Cricetulus griseus: one gene and its partner. The protein of the gene in region 1 interacts with the protein of each later gene in a pairwise test. Links are inferred from orthologs where the notes say so. Each region holds a gene or a part of one and is shown in the gene's direction. Other genes may lie near its edges.

What was found.
Region 2: the proteins of Ppp1cc (region 1) and Sfrp1 interact in a two-hybrid assay, tested with the Homo sapiens proteins (2 studies listed by BioGRID). The link is inferred for Cricetulus griseus from reciprocal best matches to the Homo sapiens genes PPP1CC and SFRP1.

The regions. Positions count from the first base shown.
Region 1 is NC_048597.1:102,003,955-102,014,479, forward strand, and holds the start of Ppp1cc (serine/threonine-protein phosphatase PP1-gamma catalytic subunit), read left to right. Parts: upstream 1-5,392; 5' UTR 5,393-5,614; coding exon 5,615-5,669; intron 5,670-10,525. UniProt on the Homo sapiens protein: Protein phosphatase that associates with over 200 regulatory proteins to form highly specific holoenzymes which dephosphorylate hundreds of biological targets.
Region 2 is NW_023276807.1:60,332,701-60,343,487, reverse strand, and holds the start of Sfrp1 (secreted frizzled-related protein 1), read left to right. Parts: upstream 1-3,775; coding exon 3,776-4,319; intron 4,320-9,107; coding exon 9,108-9,185; intron 9,186-10,787. UniProt on the Homo sapiens protein: Soluble frizzled-related proteins (sFRPS) function as modulators of Wnt signaling through direct interaction with Wnts. They have a role in regulating cell growth and differentiation in specific cell types. SFRP1 decreases intracellular beta-catenin levels.

The DNA.
Region 1 (10,525 bases):
CACAGAGCCTCTGGAGACCCAGGCTGTTCTGTCTAGTATTTGATGGTTTTGTGGAGCATCGCTGAGGAAGTTTGGACAGAGGGCTATGGCATCCCCAAATGCCTGGAATAATGGGCAGGAGAGCTGTCCCAGGAGGTGCTTTTTCTTAAGTTTTTTTTTCATGTTTCCCTTCTTGCTCTTTTTTGTTCTTTCTTTTGTTCTTTCTTTTCTAACTATCTCAGATTATAACTTTTGTTTCTACTTTGAGACAGGACCTTATGTTGCCTAGGTTAGCCTCAAAGTCACTATGTAGCCAAGGATAACCTTGACTTTTTTTTTTTTTGAGACAGGGTTTCTCTGTGTAGCTTTGGAGCCTATCTTGGCACTTGCTCTGGAGACCAGGCTAGCCTCGAACTCACAGAGATCTGCCTGCCTCTGCCTCCCGAGTGCTGGGATTAAAGGCCTTGACTTTATGAGCCTCCTATCTCCATTTCCCGAGAGCTAGGATCACAGGCATCTACCACCATGCCTGTTTATACTCCCCTCTGTGGAATTGGGGATGGCTCTTAGGCTCTGTTTGTGCTAGGCAAGTACTCTACTGTTTGAGCCATATCCCCTCCAGAACCACACCAAACAAAAATGACAGCCAGTCCTCAAAAGGGAAAGGACAAAATGTCTGCTAACAGACTGAGGGAGACACCTTCCATCCATCCTAGGCAAGCACATTCAACTGGGAGTGGTGGCACGTACCACTGAGACAGGCAGGTGGATCTCTGTGGGTTCAAGACCAGCCTGGCCTACAGATCGAGTTCCAGGACAGCCAGGGCTATATAGTGAAGTCTTGTCTCAAAAGGAAAAAGGGGAAGAAAGGAGGGAGGAAGGGAAGCCCTTACTTTGCAAGCCTGGCAGTTATGAGTTCAGTTCCTGGGACCCACAAAGAGAGACCTGGAACAAACCACCACCAAAAAGTTGTCCCCAGACCTCTGCAATGTGCTGTGGCAAGCATGAGCACAAGGATAGATAACTAGTTAATTAAATAAGTATTTAAAATAGGAAGGAAAAGGAACACATGCCTGCTGGGACCCGAGGCAGCCAATTAACATTCCTGGCTGTAGAGATGGCCCAGTGGTTAAGAGCACTTGCTGCTTTTCCAGAGGACCTAGGTTTGATTCCCAGCACCCACATGGTGGCTCATAACCATCTATCACACCAGTTCTAGAGGACCCAATTCCCTCTTCTGACCTCCATGCAGGCCAAAGTGCATGCACATAAAATAAAAATAAATCTTAAAAAAAAAATTCCTGACTGTGGGTTCCTATGCTTCTAAAAAAGGATGTGAACTAGCAAATGAAGGGATGTCACACAAATGGACATAGCTTTGGTGCATGTCGAGGTTTCTGCTTAGTAGCAAGATAGGAACAGCCACCTAGCATATGAAATTCAATGTCCAGAATAGACCAAAACAGAAAGGAAACAGATTGGAAGTTACCAGGAGATAGAGTAGAAGATGGGAGGTGACTGGTAATGGGACAGGGTTTCTTTGCCATTGGTGAAGATATTTTAGCAATCAGGTCTGATCAGGTGGGGTAGGTCTGTCATTCCAACTGCTATGGACGATGAGGTCAGAAGACTACAAATTCAAGGTCAGCCTGGCAACTTTGTGAGACTGTGGCTTTTCAGTAAATCAGTGAAATGGGGTGGGAGGTGGAGCTCAGGGGTAGAGCAGTTCCCAGTCAAAGCGGGTCAGATCCCACAGCCTGAGGGATGGTAACAAGACAGAGAGCCTCGAGGGCCCTGTTACATCGGTCCGATGGAGGCAGGGAATAAAACAAAATAAGAAAACGACCTTCAATGTGAACAAGGGCAGCGATCTCTTAGGGGAATGGGTCTTGTGCATGGGGGGTGGGGGTGGGTATGGGAAGAGGAGCTTCTAGGGTGAAAGATTCCGTTCACAGGTTTGTTACCCTGCAGTCTCAAATTTGTAATTACCAATGGAGTTTGGTGTGGCCTTATCAGGAAGGGCCTGGATGTTCTCCTGGGAGAGGGGGAGATTCCTTAGTTTATGAGTCCATGCCACTCTTCAGGATCCAGTGAGGGAGCTAGAGGCAAGCAGATGATATCAGAGTATCCTTCCTTAGGAGGCCACACCACTTTGCACTTCCTTATCAGGATCTTCCTTGTTGGTCCTTAGCCTGCTCATGGCGGCATGGTGGCCAGGAAGCAGAGTCACAGGAAGGAAGCAGTCCTGTGCTCTTAACCAATGACCCATCTCTCCAGCAACTCCCTTTTAACAATTTAATTTTATGTACATTGTGGTTTTGCCTGAAGTCATGTCTGTGTGAGGGCATCAGATCCCTTGGAACTGGAGTTACAATTTGTGAGCTGCCATGTGGGTGCTGGGAATTGAACCTGAGACCTCTGGAAGGGCAGCCAGTGCTCTTAACCGCTGAGCCGTCTCCAACTTTGTTTATTGTTTCAAGAGGGTTTTCTTTGTGCAACAGCTCTGGCTGTCTTGGAACTCACTCTGTAGACCAGACAGATCTATTGATTTAAATATAGATTTAAAAAATCTGTATGTTCTCAGGGACACGCCTTTAATCCCAACACTTGGGAGGCAGAGGCAGGTGGATCTCTGTGAGTTCCAGGCCAGCCTGGTCTACAGAGTGAGTTCCAGGAGAGCTAAGGCTGTTACACAGAGAAAACAAAACACAACAAAACAAAAATCTGTATGTTCAGACTTCCTATAGGGACTGTGATGTGGCGGTATTGGTAGAGTGGTCTCCTGGCATGGGCTCTTTCTAGTATGGAATAGAGCAGGTTTGGCAGCCATACCTAGAATTTCAACATTCTGGAGGTGGAGGCAGGAGGAGGAGTAGCTGAAGGTCATTCTCTAACAGCTATGGGTTCCACCACTCTCAAGAGAGCCAATTCTCTGATGCTGGCATGGTTATGGACTCTGGAGGGGAACTGTCCCTTGAGGTTGCTTGATAGACAAAAAATTGTCCCCTGTACTGGCTCACTGTTATTTTCCTTTATCCGAGCATGGATTGAGTGACCTACACACCTACTGCTTGGCATCTAGAGAATTATGACAGTGTGGGCATAAAATTTAGAGTATTCCATTGGTTTCCCCATAGTAATGCACACAGTGTGTGCCACAGTTTGTTGGGCTCCTGAGGCTCCATTTAGGGATTTAATTAAACAAAAGACTGTGGATTCAGGCTATCCCTGGAATTTACCAGCTGTGTGACCTTCAACAAACCTTCTAGCCTTTCTATGCCTAGCTTTATCTGTAAAATGGGAATGATGGGGATATATAATCTCTGGGATTGTATTGGGGATTCAACGAGGTGATTCTGCTTTGTTTGACACAAGATTTTGTTCTGGAGCCTTGCCTAGCCTGCAGCTGGCCTCAAACTCACAAAGATATGCCTACCTTTGCCTCCCGGTGCTGGGATTAAAGGCATATACAACCATGCCCAGCCTGGAGGTAATTTTTTTATTAAAATATTTTATTACATTTTATTTATTTTGTATATATGTCTGCTTGGTGGTCAGAGGACAACCTCTCTTCATTAGGGTATTGGGGCTGGCAGGCTTGGTGGCAATCACCTTTACCCACTGAGCCATTTAGCTGGCTCGCACAACGAGACAATTTTTGGCTCATACAAATGAGAGTGCAGTGTCTCTATATGAATTTCCTCAGAAAGAAAGGCTTCCTCTGTTTTGTTCACCCTGCTCCACGCCTAGAAAAAACTCAGGAACAGAGTAGGCACTCTGTAAATATTTGTCTCCTTAGGGAACCGTCTTATATCCCTGTCCCCAAAGTGTCATTGGGAAGATACACTCTGCCCCAGAGGAGCCCAAGTCCCAGAAACTCCTTGAGAGCCAAACAAGATATTCACAGCAGGGCTTGGCATAGGCCCCAGACGTCAAGATGTCTACTGAGCCAGGTGCCTTGGAGTGACAAATGACACTTGTGGGACTGGTAGGCAAAAACATAGCTTGGGAGAGTAAGTTGGTGACTGAGTAAAATGGTGCAGGCAGTTGAGGGGAGCTGGGATGACTCCAGAAGCTCCACCGTTGGCGCCAGCAGCAGAAAGGAGGCCAGAGATCTGCAAGGGTGCACCCCATGCCATGCTGCTGTGGCCTGGTGAAAATGAATCTCCAGATGGGGAAGCCACCTTGCTAGGAACACACGGAAGGGAATCCGTGCATCCCTTTTGCTTTGAGAATCATGAGCTTTTGGAGTGGGGGGTGGGGAAGAGGATTTTTGTAAACTGTGAAGGGCTGCTTGGAGAGAGAAATGGGTCAGGTGGGTGTGCATTTTCAGATCCAGTTAGCCTGAGAGGCAGCACAGTTGGGGGCTCCCTGGAGAAGGGTGCCCTCGGGGAGGCGATGAAACCAGAGGCAAGCAGCAGTAGAATGTGCTGAAGCCCGGGGCGCACAGCAGCCTCTAACTCGCTTTCCTCCGCAAATTCCCATCTTATCTGCTGCCGTGCGCTCATTCAATCCAGCTCAGGCTAAATCCAGGGGAGAACATCACGGTTATTATATAACTTTCTGAGTTCAAGAAAGATAATCTAAAGATAGGTGACACCTTACAAAAGTCTCCCAACCTCTCCCTAAAATGTAAAACTGCAGAAGTGCACGCAAGAGGTACACAGTTACTGAATTATGCACTACTCACAATGGACTAACGTTTCTTTTATCTGGGGGAGGCTTTCTTTTTTTCAAATACTGGATCTTAGATACTTTATTGCAGTATTACGAAATCTTGGCAGTGCTGGGGATTGAACCCAGGGTCTCACACATACTAGACAAGCGTTCATACCACAGAGTCATACATACAGCTCTTCTTGCTCACCAATATGAGCCGGCATATTTGAATCCTCGACCCTCCAACTTCCTTCTCCTAAAGATCCTCCATGGACATCTCCAACCCAGATTGGTTCCGAGGGGTGGGTGACTGACTCCCTGGTGAGCTCCCACCCCGCCGAGTCTGCAGACATCTGCCCCAAATCAGCAGCACCGGGAGGAGATCTTAACTCTAGCAACGAGCAGCCGCCGGACAATACCCGTCTTTAACTCGCGCGCGCGCCAACTTTGCAACTTCACTCTCCCGCGGGGGGTGGGGTGGGGGTGGGGGTGGGGGCGGGGGGGTGGAGGGTGGGGGTGGGGGTCTATTCCCCGCCCCACCCTCCACTCCCGTCCCCCACCCCCACCCCCCGCCCGTTTGGCGGAAGGATCCCGCGCGCGGATGGGTGTCTCACCGTCTCTGCCAGGCCCCGCCCCTGAAGCGCGAAGGCCGCCCCCTCCCGCAGCGGCCCCGCCCTCCCGCGCCCTATGGGCCTGAAGTCCCGGCCGCCGCTGCACTCCCCGCGCGCGCATCCGTGCGCCGCCCGAGGCTGGCCTGACGAGTCGGCGGCCATTTTGTTCTTCTCGTGGTTCCAGTGGCGAGAGGAGGAGGAAGCCGGGAGCGGGGCGGCTGGGGGGGGGACCCGCCGCGGCTGCTGCTGCCACCGCCGCCGCCACCACCGCTCGTGGGGCTCGTGGCGTGAGGAAGGAGGACGTGTGAGGCCCGGGCGCGAGCCGGCGGCGGCGCCGCTGCGGGAGGGTCGGCGGCAGGACGGCGATGGCGGATATCGATAAACTCAACATCGACAGCATCATCCAACGGCTGCTGGAAGGTGAGCGGCGCGCGGGCGGGCGGGCGGGCGGGGCCGGTGGGACCAGGCCCGGTGGGGACCGGTCCTCGGAAGCCGCTTGGATCTGGGGCGCGCACACAGCGCCTCCGGGTCTAGGGACAGACCCCTTGTTTTTATTACTGCCTCTCCTGCCCTTGCTCTCACATTGTGATAAATCTGGAGTCCAAGGACCCAGTGTGACTTGGCGGGGCGACGTCCCGGGGCGACGAGAGCCCCGTCCCTTGCATCCCCCCCCCCCAAAAAAAAGCCATCCTCCCTCCGGCGCTCTTTCCCCTTGAACGTGCATCCGCACACGGGCCGAGCCGCGACCGGGGTGACAGTGTCTGTGGCTCTCTGCTCATCAGATTGTTGTCCCGAGGAGAGGGGCGCGCTGCTGCATTCAGCGAGCGCCCTGCCAGGTAGGTGCTGTTATCTTGGAAGAAACTTAAAAGACCTCGCCTGACCAAGGGCGAGTCCCGCTTCAAACCCCTGGTAGCCAAGGTCTAGACACGACCTGCCTGCCCTCTTCCACTGTTCACCCTGTGGGAGCGCAGGGCATGCGTGCCTAGTGGCTAAGGGAAGGTTAAAAATCTTTTCTTTTGTCCGACTTATGACGGGGTGGGTGGGGGGCGCTGCAGTGGGTTCCTAGTTGGTGAGAGATTAATATGACATAGGGACTCCCCACAATTCCCGACCTAATGCTGATTGGGTTCTTGACAATGTTATTAACTAGCTGGCTTTTGCTGCTTTTGCCTAAAATACTGTTGGCGTGTAAGAAACATGCCGTGAGTGGTGGTGGTGAACAGCTGCAGAGTCATTGAAAGAAAAGTAAAAAGTGTCTTTTTAATCTGTGCATTTTCTCCCCTAATACTTTATTTTATTGCTTTGTTTAGATCGGGTCTTTTTTGTTTTTGGCTTTGTTGAGACAGGGTCTCTGCAGTCCTGGCTGTCCTGGAGCTCGATGTGTGTAGATCAGGCTAGCCTCAAACTCTCAGATCCCTCTGCCTCCCCTTCCTGAGTGCTGGGGATTAAAGGCTTTTATCATCATTTCCCCTAGATAAAGTCCCACAGAGCCAGAACTGGCCTTGAACTCCTGATCCTTGTGCCTCCTCCCAAGTACTAGAAGTTATAAGCCACCAAGCCTGGGTTATGAAGTCCTGAGGATTGAACCCAAGGCTTCTTCCTACACGCTGAGTAAGCATTCCATCACCTGGGCTGCATCCCCAGCTCAGATTTCGTTGTGTTTTTTTTTTTTTTTTTTTTTTATGTTTAACACTATGCTGAAAAAGTTTTAGCAGTAAACTTGGCTCATCTTTTGTTTTTAAATTTATTTTTCACATGGGATGTGTGTGAGTGCACCCAGGCCACAGCACCCGGGATTAGAGGACAATTGGGTGTGTGTAGTTTGTTCTTATCTTTGTGTAGGCTTGCTTCATCAGCTTTCCTTTCTCCCCCTTTAAAAATTTTTGTTTTTAGATTTTATGTTTTAAGCTTTGTCTTCATATGTATGTGTTTACCACATGCATGCCTATAACCAAGGAGGTTAGAAAGGGGCATTGGGTCCTCTGGGGCTGGAGTTAGATGGTTGTGAGCCACTATCTGTGCTGGGAGCGTAGCCAGGGTTATCCCCAAGAGCAGCAAGTGCTCTTGGCTGCTGAACCATCACCTCAGCCCCCCCTTCTTTTTTCTTTTTTTTTTATGGGGGGAACAGGTTTGAAGACAGCTTTTTTCTACATAGATCAGGCTGGCCTTGAACTCAGCTCTGGGATTAAAGGTGTGTGCCACCATTGATGGGCCCCTATAGTTTCTTGAATGTTACTTTTTAAATTTTGAGACTGAGTGTCACTACCAAGCAAAGGCTAACCTGAGATTTACAGAGATCTGCCTGCCTCTGCCTCCTATAAGTGTTGGAATTGGAGACTTTACCACCATGTCCAGGCTGGTTTTTTATTTTCTTTTGAACTTAATAGAGTAGGATACTATATTTAAATGCTTTGAGAATAAGCTAGTTGCACAGTATATGTTTCTTCTTATTTCTGTATGTGAACTTAACAAAACCACAGCCTTCTGTTGAGGATGTGTGTGCTTCTCCATTAGAGAATGTGGTGTTGTGCTCTCTCTACTTTGTGTACCATCTTTAGGGCCGTCATCTCTGAACACTGGGAGTGAGATTTAAGTAATTCATAGACTCTAGAGATGGCTCAGCTGATAATTAGTGGCTCTGCCCTTAACCACGAAGACCTGATTTGATCCTCAGGACCCACAAGAACTTGAGAGGAGAACCAGACTCTCGCCTGCTTCCCTCCCTCCCCAAACGCTCCCAGCAAGTGTGTACTTGCACACCTCTACATAGTAAAATGAAATTCAGGGTTTAATTCCAAAAGGTGGAGATAAGATTTGTCACTTGATGAGGCATTTTTTCCAATTGATAATTGATTCTTTTGTAGTTGGGCACCTTACTGCCCCAACACTCTGGAGCCTGGGACACGGAAATGCAGACATTCTAGGCCAGGCTGTGTTGGATAGCAATATCTGTCTCACAGTTGGAACCCTTCCTCAAGAACTCCCAAACTTAAGAGCTATGAACGAGCTGAGAAAGGGCTTTGCAAGCGAGGGCTGTATGAACGAGATGGGACAGGGTCTTTAATAATGAGGTGTGGCCATGTGGCACACTCCTTCATCCCAGAGCGGTGAGCTGGGAGGCCAACCTGGTCTACACACCAAATTCCATGCCAGCCAGCTATCCATAGTGAGACCCTGTCTCAAAAAATCAAGGGCTGGAGAGATGGTTAAGAGCATGTTATTCTTCCAGAGGATCCAAGCTCAATTACCAGCACATGGGGCAGCTCAGTGCCTGCTATTCCAGCTCTAGAAGATGAGACACCTGGCCCCCCGATACATACATGTCATACATACATACATGTCGTAACTTGTACAGACAGATGATTAAAGATAAATTTTAACCTGGACATGGTGACACATTTTTAATCTCAGTACTGGGAAGCAGAAGCAGGTGGAACACTTTCAAATCCAGCCTGGTTTACAGAATAAATTCCATCCAGGCCACCCAAGGCTAAATAGTGACATGGTATAAACCTGTAGTCCCAGGCACTTAGGTGGAATCAGGAGGTCAAGGCTAGCTTGGACCACAGAGACCTTGTCTGACAAAACAAATAATGGGAAATTGGGGTTGGATGGTAAACACTAGTGCTTTGCAGCACTCTAACTGCAGTAGCTTTCTCCTGAGCCCCGTCCCTGTGTGGTCAGCTACTCTGATGGAAGGTCTGTTACTCTATAGCACATTCTGGTGTTAGCACGTTGCCAGCTCTATGTTCAAGCAGAACAGATTTAAATAGGAAATAGGCTAGCTGGGTTTGGCCTGGCCTCCTGCTCTGTTGTATTGGTTAAAGGGGGAGTGCGTGGAATTGGGGCACTTTCTTCGTGAAACCTCTAGCATTTTTCTTGAGTACTAAGTGTTTGTAATTGCTTCACATCTTGAGTGGGCAAGAAGTGTGTTTCTTAGCCAGGCCATGGCCATGGTGGTGCACACCTTTAATCCCAGCACTTGGGAGGCAGAGGCAGACCGTGAGTTAGAGGCCAGCCTGGTCTCCACAGTGAGTTCCAGGACAGCCAAGACTGTTACACAGAGAAACCCTGTCATGAAAAACCCATTTTTTAAAAAGTATGTTTTTGTAAAGGAAGGTCAGGAGAAGTGGCTGCGTTAATACAGAGTGCTTGCCAATTCTCATCTTTCTGAAGACAGTCTGAAGTCCTAAAAGTCTCCAAATCTGTGTGTGGCTATTCAGTGCTCCTGTTCTGTAGGTTCAGAAGCCTGTAGTTAAGGTCCTATAGGAAAGATAAGTGAGGACCATGGGCTTGGCTGTATTGAAGCAGATCTTAAAACTGAGCAGAGTCCACAGCAAGATAATTCTAACAGGGACTTCCTGTGCTTCCCAGCATGGACAGGTGTGTCCCCCCCATCCCTCACCTGGAAGGCAGAGCAGGACTCCCTCCCTTCCCTCATGATCTGCAGGTACTTTGGGGCCTTTTTTAAAAACCCACTTTGGCAAGGATGACTCCCAGAGTCTGACTGCCCCTTTGCTTGGGGGACGTGGGGTAGCAGGGCAATCCTAGGCTTTAATTGATTAATGCTGGGGCTGCTGGTATACTTCTCAGTCTAAAAATATGAGGGAGAAAGGCCCAGGTGGGGACTGCCTTGGAGCTACAGAAACCCCACAGAGGCCCCTTAAAGAAAGCAGATCCTTTTTTTTTTTTCTCTTGGTTTTTCGAGACAGGGTTTCTCTGTGTAGCTTTGGAGCCTATCCTGGCACTCGCTCTGGAGACCAGGCTGGCCTTGAACTCACAGAGATCCGCCTGCCTTTGCCTCCTGAGGGCTGGGATTAAAGGCGTGCGCCACCAACGCCTGGCTTGGAAGGAATTTTTGTCTTCATCTTGAGGTCATAACTGTGTGTCAGGAGGGTGGAGGCAAGATATGCCTTCATAGGTTCTGTGGATGTTTCCCCCTCCATTTTTGAAGGGTGTGAGTAATTTTAGGGCTTACCCAAGAGCCCTAAAGAGAAATTCATAGGATCAGATGGGCAAGGTACTGATGCCCAATTATGTTCAGCTGTGGATAGGTTCAACCTTTTTCTTTCAAGACATATTCTAATGCTGCCTTTCCACTCCCTTTGTAGTTGAGAATGACCTTGGACTCTTTGACCCTCCTGCCTCCCACCTGAAGGATGACTTTGCAGAGGTGATGGCCCAATACCTGGTTTAGGCTAAATACGCTGTTTTCAGTGTGTTGCTTTGTGTTTGGCATAGAAAACAAGAGGCATCCTTGAAATTTTTGGCTAGAG
Region 2 (10,787 bases), on another chromosome or scaffold:
GCCTGACTCTGATGTTTGAAGATGAATTCCAGACTCCTAAACCCATCGATGGGCAGGCCAATTGGTAAAGGAGTCAGGAAATTCAAAGTTAATCACTCCAAGGTAGACTGGAGAAGCAGCCTGTCCAAGTAAGAACATCAACACACTTTGTAATGTCTCACATTGAGTGTTGTGTGAAGGCATTCATACTTGACTGCAAATCTGTACCTCTTATGGTCCTGGATACTGATAATTCAATTAAAAATATTTTTTGACAGTGTTTCCCTGTGTCATCCTGGCTGGCCTCAAACTCACAGAGATCTTCCTATCTTTGCCTTCCAAGTGCTGGTGTTAAAGCATGTGCCACTAGGCCAGGCCAAGAGGCCACACTCTGTATTTCATAAGTAGCAGATCAGGTCACAAGTAGCCGAGTAAGCATGCTTAGCTCTCCTCACAGGCAAGTGGGTTAAACCCAGAGAGATGGAAGCAGGTCATACCCTGGGAGCTGGAAACGTGTTGGGGGCATAACCGAAGCCACAAACCATGGTTCCCAACTCCTTTCTGCCTTATGCTAGAGCCACCACTACCTGGCTGTAGGCAGGAAGTAACCCTTCTGTTCCTGGCAGCTCTGCTAATCTGAGAGTGTGAGTGTCTGCTCATCTTATTCCTGAAGTGGCCTACAAATCACTGGTGAAATGCTAAGGGAACAGAAGAGGAGCCACAGCCTAGGCAGGTTCTTCCTCTCCCGATTTTAAGCTCTCTGTGTGGAAAGAAGCCACCAGCTAGGTACTGGGAGCCCCTCAGTGACCCTGATTTCCTGTCAGCTTTGAGATGGGTAAATGCCCCCTTAAACTGATGTGAAGCAATAGAGAAAGTGCTCCCCAGTTTTCATGAAGAGGCACCTAGTTGTGTGAAAAAAAGGCAAGGGTAAAGCTTCATGCTGTCCCTGCTTACCTAAACTATTAGGGCAGGAGGAAGCCATGGGCTTCTCCTGATTTATAGTTGTCAAACTCAGAAACCAAGGTTTCTGAGAGCTGTGATAGGATAATAGCATTTTAAACATCCCTTGTTCTAGAACTTTCTCTTGTATATGAAAGGGAGATTAGATTTTAAAGCATGTGATCTAGTGTCGTGAGATATTTGATTATGCTGTGTAAAGATATCTCACTCTGATTGGTTTAATAAAAAGCTGAACAGCCAATAGCTAGGCAGGATTTCCAGGCACAGAGGACACTGGGAGGGGGAGACACAAGGACACAGGGAAGCAGCACCGGCATTACAAAGTAAAGGCAACCGAGCCACATAAAAGAAGTAGATTAAAAGGAAATGGGTTAATTTAAGTTATGAGAGCTAGTTAGAAACAAGCCTAAGCTATCGGCCAAGCTTTCATAATTAATAAGTTTCTGTGTCATTATTGGGGAGCTGACAGTCCCGATGAAAAATGTGCCTACAGTCTAGTGATACGAAAACTAGAAAGTATGTGTAGCCTGCCTTGGCTGACACTGTCCTGCAGGGTGGCCTACAGGGACATTTTTCATCTCAAGTGGGATGGACATCAAGACTCTGTCTTCCTTCCCATATGGACCTTAGAAGGATTCAGAAATACACAACTACTGACATTCCTCATCTGAACTGACAGTTGTATCCATGGCAGAATGCCAGAGGGCAAAGCACAGAGGTGAACACTGGGGCATCTAAGTCAACAAGGCTGACTGGATGTAGACTACTTCTTCCTGAGAATGGATTTGTGAACTCACCTGCACTCATTCCCAGCATTGTACCTGAGGGTAGACCCAAGTCCAGCTATTTGGGGGAATTGTACACAAGTAAGTGAGGGGTGGGCTCAACCTTGATTCAGAGGGAAAAGGCTCTTTATCTTCTAATGCTAATCTTTCCAATGAGCGAGCAAACAGACACTTTAGCCTGGAAAGAGGGTCTAGCCTGAGGAGAGAAAAAGGGTGCTCTAGCAAACAGTTTTAGCCCTGCTGGTTGAATTGAGACCCAGTCCTGGTCTCCTGTCTCTATTCTCTGTGAAGAATGTGGTTTCCTAGCTCCTTAGGCAGGACAGCATTGCAGGTCGTTTCTTGATTAACCCCTGGTCATCCACAGCCTTGCTCTGCCCGACCTTTCCCTGTAACCCAAATCTGCCTGTTTGTCTTTGGGCCTGGGAAGGATAGACATGGTGACCACCTGCAGCTGCTTCCCGGTTGTGCAGTGGAGTCACACATCGTCTGCATGTGTGTGTGTGATTGCTTTAAAAAAAAAAAATCCCTGCATCTTTGCAAGCTCCAGGGCTTTTACTTGGAACCAAGAAATTAGGTCTATAGAGTTGCAAGTAAGAGTCCCCAGAGCTTTATAATCAAGCTGCCTGGGCCAGCAGCAACTCCAGCTGTGTCCTGCCTTGCAACTAAGAGTGGTAGCCCATTTGCCACCTGGTGTGGCACCACACTGCCTCCTTGGCTACCCCTCCAGTCACCCTGAAGGACAGACACAGCAGAGAACTTCAAGAACTGCTTGTACCTTCTCCTGTCCATTCTTGATCACACCCCTAGCTCTCTGATTTTAAGGCACTCAAGTAATTCCCAGGAAGTGACTAGTGAGGGCAGGGGAGGCTATTCCTGCCTGCTTGGCTTCTGCCTGTGGTGGGGTGGCCGATATACCTTAGGTTGTGACCTAGACTGCCTCTGAATTAGCATGTATATCTGACTGATACAGTTAGTATCCACCCAGCCATGCCGGTGAAGTGCTCCTGTGGTTTTTGTTTTGTTTTTTGTTTTGCTTTGGCTTTCTAATCTACAAACATATCATTGTGTATGTTTGTAAGTAGATATGTTGTCAGCTGACTGGGACTTGTGTAGGGTCTTAAAATATTGTTTAAAAATGTAAACTGTCTTCCAAAACTAACACATGTCAGCAGTATTGTCCTCCCTTTCCCGTTCTGCTTCCTGTCACCCGGAAAGGTGTTGTATTTTAGACGCACCTTCCCTTAGTCTTTGCAAAAGCCCAGGCTTTTATTAGGGAATTTAAAAGACGCCCCTAAGTTCAGTTTGTCCATCCGAGTAGCTGAGAAGCAGCCTGCTTCTGTACATAAGCGTCAAAGAATAAACCGCGGAGCGGAGAATTTCTGTTATGTTGGGCTGTTGCTTGGAATTAGGAAAACGTGTTAAAAAAAAGTCTTCACAATCGCATCAATTTGCAAGCATTATGAAGATTTTTTTTAAACAAACTGATTCACGTTCATTACAGCGTCCAACATCGTCTTTATCCACCCCACACTTCCAACTACTCTCTTTTCTCTGCATTTGCCTTCTTCGAAGTATTTGCTTAGTTTTTGGTTTTGCTTTTTAAGGGGTGTTGACCTGTGTCTAGTTCTAGTAAACCGATCCCTCTGGCCAGCGCCGCGATTGGTTAAATGCGCGGCTGACTGACGCGGTGTGGAGAGCGGCTCCCGGCAGCGCGGAGCTGATTGGCTGCGCGCGGGAGATCCAGGGCTCGGCCACCCGCACACCGCGCACTCGGGCTGCAGCGTCGCAAGTAGGTGCAGCCGCCCGCAGCCCGCCGCGCCTCCACGAGCCGGGACGGCACTCGATCCGTCCCGCGCGCTCCCTGCCCTGCTCCAGTCCCGCCGCGGCCTGCGGCTTCCGAGGGCCCCATCGGCTCCAGACTCGGGGAGCAGCGCGCGGCCGCCAGCCGGACGGGGCCGGCCACTGCGCCTTTGTCCCCGGAGGCTCCGGGAAGTTTGCAGCGGGACGCGCGAGTGAAGGCAGCGCGGGCAGCCCCGACGTCGCCGAGCAGCATGGGCAGCGGGCGCAGCGCGCGGGGCCGTGGCGGGGCCACCTCCGGAGTGCTGCTGGCGTTGGTCGCCGCGCTGCTGGCCGCGGGTTCGGCCAGCGAGTACGACTACGTGAGCTTCCAGTCGGACATCGGCTCGTACCAGAGCGGCCGCTTCTACACCAAGCCTCCGCAGTGCGTGGACATCCCGGTGGACCTGAGGCTGTGCCACAACGTGGGCTACAAGAAGATGGTGCTGCCCAACCTGCTGGAGCATGAGACCATGGCAGAGGTGAAGCAGCAGGCCAGCAGCTGGGTGCCTCTGCTCAACAAGAACTGCCACATGGGCACCCAGGTCTTCCTCTGCTCTCTCTTCGCGCCCGTCTGTTTGGACCGGCCCATCTACCCGTGCCGCTGGCTCTGCGAGGCCGTGCGCGACTCGTGCGAGCCGGTCATGCAGTTCTTCGGCTTCTACTGGCCCGAGATGCTCAAGTGTGACAAGTTCCCCGAGGGAGACGTCTGCATTGCCATGACCCCGCCCAATGCCACTGAAGCCTCGAAGCCCCAAGGTAAGGGTGTTCCTTCCCACGCCCGCGAGCCCCTGCTGCAGCGGGGATAGCAGGGAGCTGTGCACCACAGCCCGCAAGGTGTGCAGACTCGATCCCGAAAGCTTTTAGGAGGTCCGGGCGTCACTTGGCCCTTCTACTGGCCCAGGTACCTCGAGATTGCTGGGGAGCCTCGGCCCTGGGGGTGAGGTGCGGGGGGGGGGGGGGGACGGCGGGGGGAGTTGGGTGAACCTGGAGCTGCCCTTCCTGGGCTCCAGTCTGGCGTTTTCCATACCTGTAACAAAGCTAAGCCTTAGGTTTTGAAGAAAATGAGGGTGTCCACCCAAAGCTCTTAACATCCGAAACAGAGACTGCTCCCTAGGAAAACAACTCATCCAAACTGCAAAAAACCTCAGACTGAGGGAAACCTGTGTTTGTTTTCATAAGTTTGAAAGTCTTTTTTTTTTTTTTCTAAAAGCAAAACAAGCAGCAACAAAACACCCCCTCTCCTTAGTTTATCTTCCATTCGTGTTGCAGAACTGGCTGAGGAAATGAAGTTTAGAAAGAGCCACTTCTGTTTCTTCGCCTCTAAACTCAGGCTACAGCCTTGAATTTAGCAAATCTAGGGGATGCAAAAATCTCGTGTCCACCATCCTTCCATACCCCCTGCGTCTCCCATTCACACAAATCCTTGGGTAATTAGAAAGATAAAAATGTAATTAGCTCATTGTTTATCTCCTCCTGGGGGGTGAGGAACTGCAAATTGGGTGCTGCAAATTCTGAACCCTGGGGGAGTAGAATTTGTTCTGGGAACCCGGTATTTAAAGGTGTGTGTGTGTGTGTGTGTGTGTGTGAGAGAGAGAGAGAGAGAGAGAGAGAGAGAGAGAGAGAGAGAGAGAGAGAGAGAGGGAGGAGGGAGGGAGGGAGGGAGGGAGGGAGGGAGGAGGAGGAGGGAGGGAGGGAGAGAGAGAGAGAGAGAATCTGGATACAAAAAACAAAAACATGCACAGAACCCAAAGCAGCAAGCCCTACAGCAGCCCTGGCCCAGTTCCTTGGGAATGGGTTCATTGCTGTGGGATGAGGCTCAGGAATAGCAGATACTCTTGTCCAGTGGCCCTTATCACAGGAGAGGGTACCCCAAGGCCACTTCTGAAGAGGATACTTTAGCTTATCTTAAAGTGTTGAGTGTCTTGGCTTTCTGAGGCAGGGTCTTAATCTCTTGGTGTGCAGCCCAGGCTGGTCTTGAACACAAATTCCTCCTGTTTCAGCCTCCTCAGCTCTGGGATTACAGGCTTGCACTGCCAAGTGCCTCTTGTTTAGTGCCTCATTTGGCTGCCACAGAGTGAGGATTGGGGTAGACGTGAGGGACGTTTGAACGGCTCCTATTCATTCTGGGGAGGAAGGTAGGTCCAAAGTGATTGCCCTCGTCTGGCATGGGTCCCAGCCTGTAAGGTAAATGGTAGCCCTGGGCACCCCTGTCCTCAGGGCTGGTATGTGCAGTCTTTTGACACGGCTCTCTGGGGGTTGAGCATTTCCCTAGACTTCTTCTATCCCCATTGAGCCTCCCCACCCCACCCCCTGCAGACCACAGTTTCCTTCCTAACTCCTGCCTGCCAGGAGAGCTTGTGGCCAGCTTTGCTTGTATTCCTTCCATTCCCCATGGCTACTGATTGATTGCCCTTTTCTGAGGTTATTGGTGGGCATAAAGTGCAAACCTGTGGGAAACAGCTTTGTGTAAAGTGGCTGAAGTTTGGGGGCAAGAAAAGAGGACCAGAAGGGAGTGGCACTGTTTCTGAGGGTCCCCCAAACCAGTCCCTCCAAATCTGTCAGGGCAAAGGGCACACCCACCCTAACCCATTTCTGGATGCTTTTGTGTGAATCCATGTGTTTGGTTCATCCTTGCCTGGTGCTTAGGTAGAGCACTTCTTTGCTAAATAAAGACCCCCCCCCTCTCTCTCTCTCTCTCTCTCTCTCTCTCTCTCTCTGTGTGTGTGTGTGTGTGTGTGTGTGTGTTGTCTGGTAGGAGTGTGGCTGTGGCTGGTTTTCTCTGAAGTGATTTTGACTTTTGTGAGAGGCATCAATGTCTCTCCAGAATGTCAGACTGCCATTATGAGGGTGTCCCATGTGATGCACAACCCCCTTACACACACTTTGCCCTGAAGGGCTGTCCCGCTGCTAGCTGAGAGTTAAGTTGTGTGTGAATAAGTGAAGATTAAGACACATAACCTTAGACTGGTAGCCCTGGAACAAGACCTGGGACTTTGAGATGATAGTAAGTTACCTACAGGTGCCTACTCTCTGGTCCTCATCCACCCTGTTATCTTAAAACTGAAACCTCAAAATTTCAACACAGCATTACATCTTAGTATACAGTTTTAGGAATACTGGGGCATTCGTTGTTATTAAAGAAGAGCCTGATCATGAGAAATGAGCCGAAGACTTTGATTTCCTCTCTCTCAAACAGGCTGCTCGCACTACCTTGGCTTCTGTGACAGGAAAGGGAATTGTGCCATCCATCCCAGGAGACCGACTTCTAGATCTTGGACATACATTAGACTAGCTTAGGAAATTGTCGTTCTCCTTCCCTGCCGGGTTTCACTGAGTTGTGTGAACGAGCCCATTGCGTTCAGTTGTGTTGTTTAGGTATGTTGTGTATTAGGTCAGCCAGGCTGTGTAGTCACAGGCTGGAGAGGCCAGGGAGCCCCCACTTCTCCCAGAGGCTCCTTATGGTACCTCCTCCTCTCTCCTTAGAGAGCTAGCTGCCCAAGGAAAATCGATCTCCCTGCCTTCCCTTCCCCCATCTCTTTCCCTTCACCTCCCTCCCACTCTCTCCTCTCCTAGTGCACATTGATTTTACAAGTAATCTTAATCCTGATTCCAGCGTTGGCTTTCCCCTCTACTTTCTTGTAGACATTAACAAAGTACAAAATCTCTTAGTCTTATTCGTTTGCTTCACACTTTACAGCTATGTTTTGGTTTACCTGTCCAGTGGAAGTCTCAGTAGATTCCTCCTGTGAGGTAGGCTTGCAGGGCCCCCAAAGACACATGAGGGGCAGAGATTAATATTGCATTACACATTCTTCTCCCTCTGGAGAAAGCTGCTCAGCTCCTGGCTGCAGAAATTGAGAAGAGGGAAAGCCATGTTGAAAATAAACGGTGTTCCACTCCCACCCTGCACCTTCCCCACCAGCAGCAGCACTGAGAGCGATTGAAGGCCAGGAGGAATCTGCAGGCTGAAACATCTGTCCTGTTGGGGTGCAGATCCTCAGAGTGCCAGTAGAATTGGAGGTGTATGAAGGAGACCGATAAGATTTGGTCTTTATGTTTGGATGCCTTGCTACTCCTTTGTTCAACATTTTATACCTTGAATTTTGCAGTGTGATAATGTCTACTTAAAAAAAAAAGCAATCATAATAACAGCTAGGAAACCCAAACACACAGTTCTTTTTCCTATTATAGGTCTCATGATCCTGTCTATAACTTCCTTTCCTTTTTCTACCTTTCTTTACATGGAAGCAAACACCATGATGGAAATTTCTGAGTAAGAGGTTTTATGTTGTCATTCAGAAACATCACTTTCAGAACCCAATTTCAAGCTCTGGGAGTGAAACAAACATATTTCCAACATCTGACCCGAAGAGTTTTGCTAGCTTCTGCCCCCCAAATTTGAAAGGCAGCTGCCAGAGTATGGTATATGTGGGAGAGAAAACTGGTGGATATGGGCTGGAGATGTGTTCCCTGCCCTAGAGGGAGTGGGCTGGGGAGTAGCTGCACCCAAGAGGGTACCCATTTCATAGCCTAAGCCATGGAGAAGGGGGTGGGAAAAGGGATGGTGTTGGTGAGCCACAGGTGACAGGAAATGAAAGCCAGTGAGCACAGATGCTCAGCACACCAAACCGCACCTTGACTACTGTCTTCGGGTGACTTCCTTTCAACTCCAGTCAGGATTTGGCCTCCAGTGTCCAGGATGCCAGGAATAGACTATGTTTAGTGTACTTGTGGTTTTCTAGGTCACAAATAAACTGTTAAGTTGTTTGATAGGTGATGAGAAGGAGGAATTTTAGGGAGATGATAAGCTACTTCAATTCTCCTGTAAACACTTTCTCTCTACCTTTCCAAGGAGGCCTGTGAAGCCGCTTCCCACAGGGGCCTAGTCACCTCTCAGTGGCTTCCCCCCCCCCCACTTCTCTTCAAAGTGCTTCATGAAAGATCATCTAAAGGGTTTCCTTCTCGGTCAGCTCTGCCCTCCATTTGGTGGGTCTGGCTGGCCCCTCCCATCCCCCCACTCTACACACAGCCTGCTTTCTGGAGTGTCTCTATGGCACTTCAGGGCCCTGGGCTTGAGTGATTGAGTATGACTCCTCTCTTGGTCCCCAAGACCTGGTCAAATTGATGGGCTGTCTTGTTCAGAGTTTGCAAGTAGGAAGGGGGATGGAATTGGAGGGGTGGTAGATAAAGGGGAGGGGAAGAACTAGAAACAAACCAGGGGAAGATCGGTTTTGGTGTATAAGCTAGCTTTCTTTTTTTTCAGGTACTCATAGCAGCCTGGACTGCCTCTACCGACTGCAGATAGCAGTCAATTAAATAATCGTCACACTCGACATATCTAGGCCAAAATATTTGAAGAAAACATTCATCTGTTTATGCCTGTGATCCTGAGTTCAAGATCCCTTCATTGCCGTTCTTTGGATACCTTTCACGAATTCCAGACCTTTAGCCCTGGCTCACCTGGCCCCCACCTGCTCTCTTGTCCAGGGGTCCTCATCACTGTGACTTACACAGTTTCTGTTTCTGCTTGCTTCCCTTTTTTAGGTACAACAGTGTGTCCTCCATGTGACAACGAGTTGAAATCCGAGGCCATCATTGAACATCTCTGTGCGAGCGAGTTTGGTAAGCTAGAGTTTCAGCCTCACTCAGGGCTCTTGGATTCCCCTCCTTTCCCTGTCCTGTGTTTCCCCCTGAAGGTGGAGCTCACGGGGACATCATGTCTGAGTTTTACATCCTCTGTCTCCACCTTCTCATATTCACTCTCAGGCAAAAGGAAGTCTAGGGAGAGTAGAGCATAGGCCATCTTTTATTAAAGTTAGACTACATATGCCCCTGTGTCTCAGATTTGGAGGAACCTTCTTTTATGGCAGAGGGAAGCAGACTTGGGGACTGGGGGAAGCCAGGTGCCTGAGAGTAAAGTGCCCTTCACCTGCTGCAGTAGCAGCCCTGGCTTGACTTTCTCTGTGGTTTGATTTTTATATTCACCCCTAGGTGTCAGCACTACTCTACCCTGGACTGAAATGGCCCAGGGTGGGTGGGGTGCCATCCCAGGAGGGGGAGATTTCTGTGCTTAGCGGATTCACCAGAGGTCCTAGTCAGGGCCTTCTGGGCAAAGAACACTGATGTTGACACAGGAGTGTGATTTCTCTCCCTACTTCCTAAGTCAGTCTGGGTTGAAAAAGAATTCGAAATCAGCACCTGCAGCTTCCAGAGTGAGGCTAGACTGGGCTAGGGAGCAAATTCAGGACCCTTCTAGGATGGCCCCTCTGGCCAACAAGAAAACCCAATGACTCCTGAACTTCGAGAACGGTATGAAATGTGCCCTTTTAGAGTTTGCCCCCTCCCTCTCTTGGATTTCCACTGCTGGATATAGAGCAGCGGTCAAGGCTAGACCCATTTTGCTGAAGGACAGATTTAGTTTGATGCTCAAAATTCCAGGTTGTGTCCTTGAGAATGGATTTCTCACTTCTTATGGGAGAAAGTATAAAGGTAGGTGATGTGAGTTTTCATGTCTGTTTAGAGTTATCTCCTCTGTGTTTTCATTAACCTGACATGATAAAGTACAGGAAGAGTATGATATTGTGAAGTAGTGTGCGCCCATGAGCTCACACAAATGGGAGGGAGCACTCCCAAGCCCAGGGAGTTTGTGTGTCATGGCACACATATTCTTAGGGTGTTTGCAGATATATGTACAGAAGCTGAATTGTTCAAATCATTTGCCAAAGAGACCTTAATGAGAATAGATGCTTATTTATTTATTTTTATGGTTTTTCAAGACAGGGTTCCTTCTGTGTAACAGTCCTGGCTGTCCTGGAACTCACTTTGTAGACCAGGCTGGCCTTGAACTCACAGAGATCCGCTAGTCTCTGCCTTCCCAGTGCTGGGATTAAAGGCGAGCACCACCATTGCCTGGCTGTTTATATTTATTTTTTTAAAACTACTTGTGTATGCTCATGCATACAGAGGCTAGAGAACAACTTTGGTCATGTTGTTCCTGGGGATTGAACTCAGGTTGTCAGGCTACTGAGCTTATTGCATGCCCATTTTTTGAAAAAGTTATATTTATTTCTGATGGATTTTAATTTTGATATCAAGTGTCTGTATTTGCATTATTTGGTTTCCGCTACATTTTGCTGCTTGTGTGAGTCACACCCTATTTTTCTTGTCATTTAAATTTTTTTTAAGACTTTTTATTTTTTAAACAATCTTGGATGTATCCTAGTC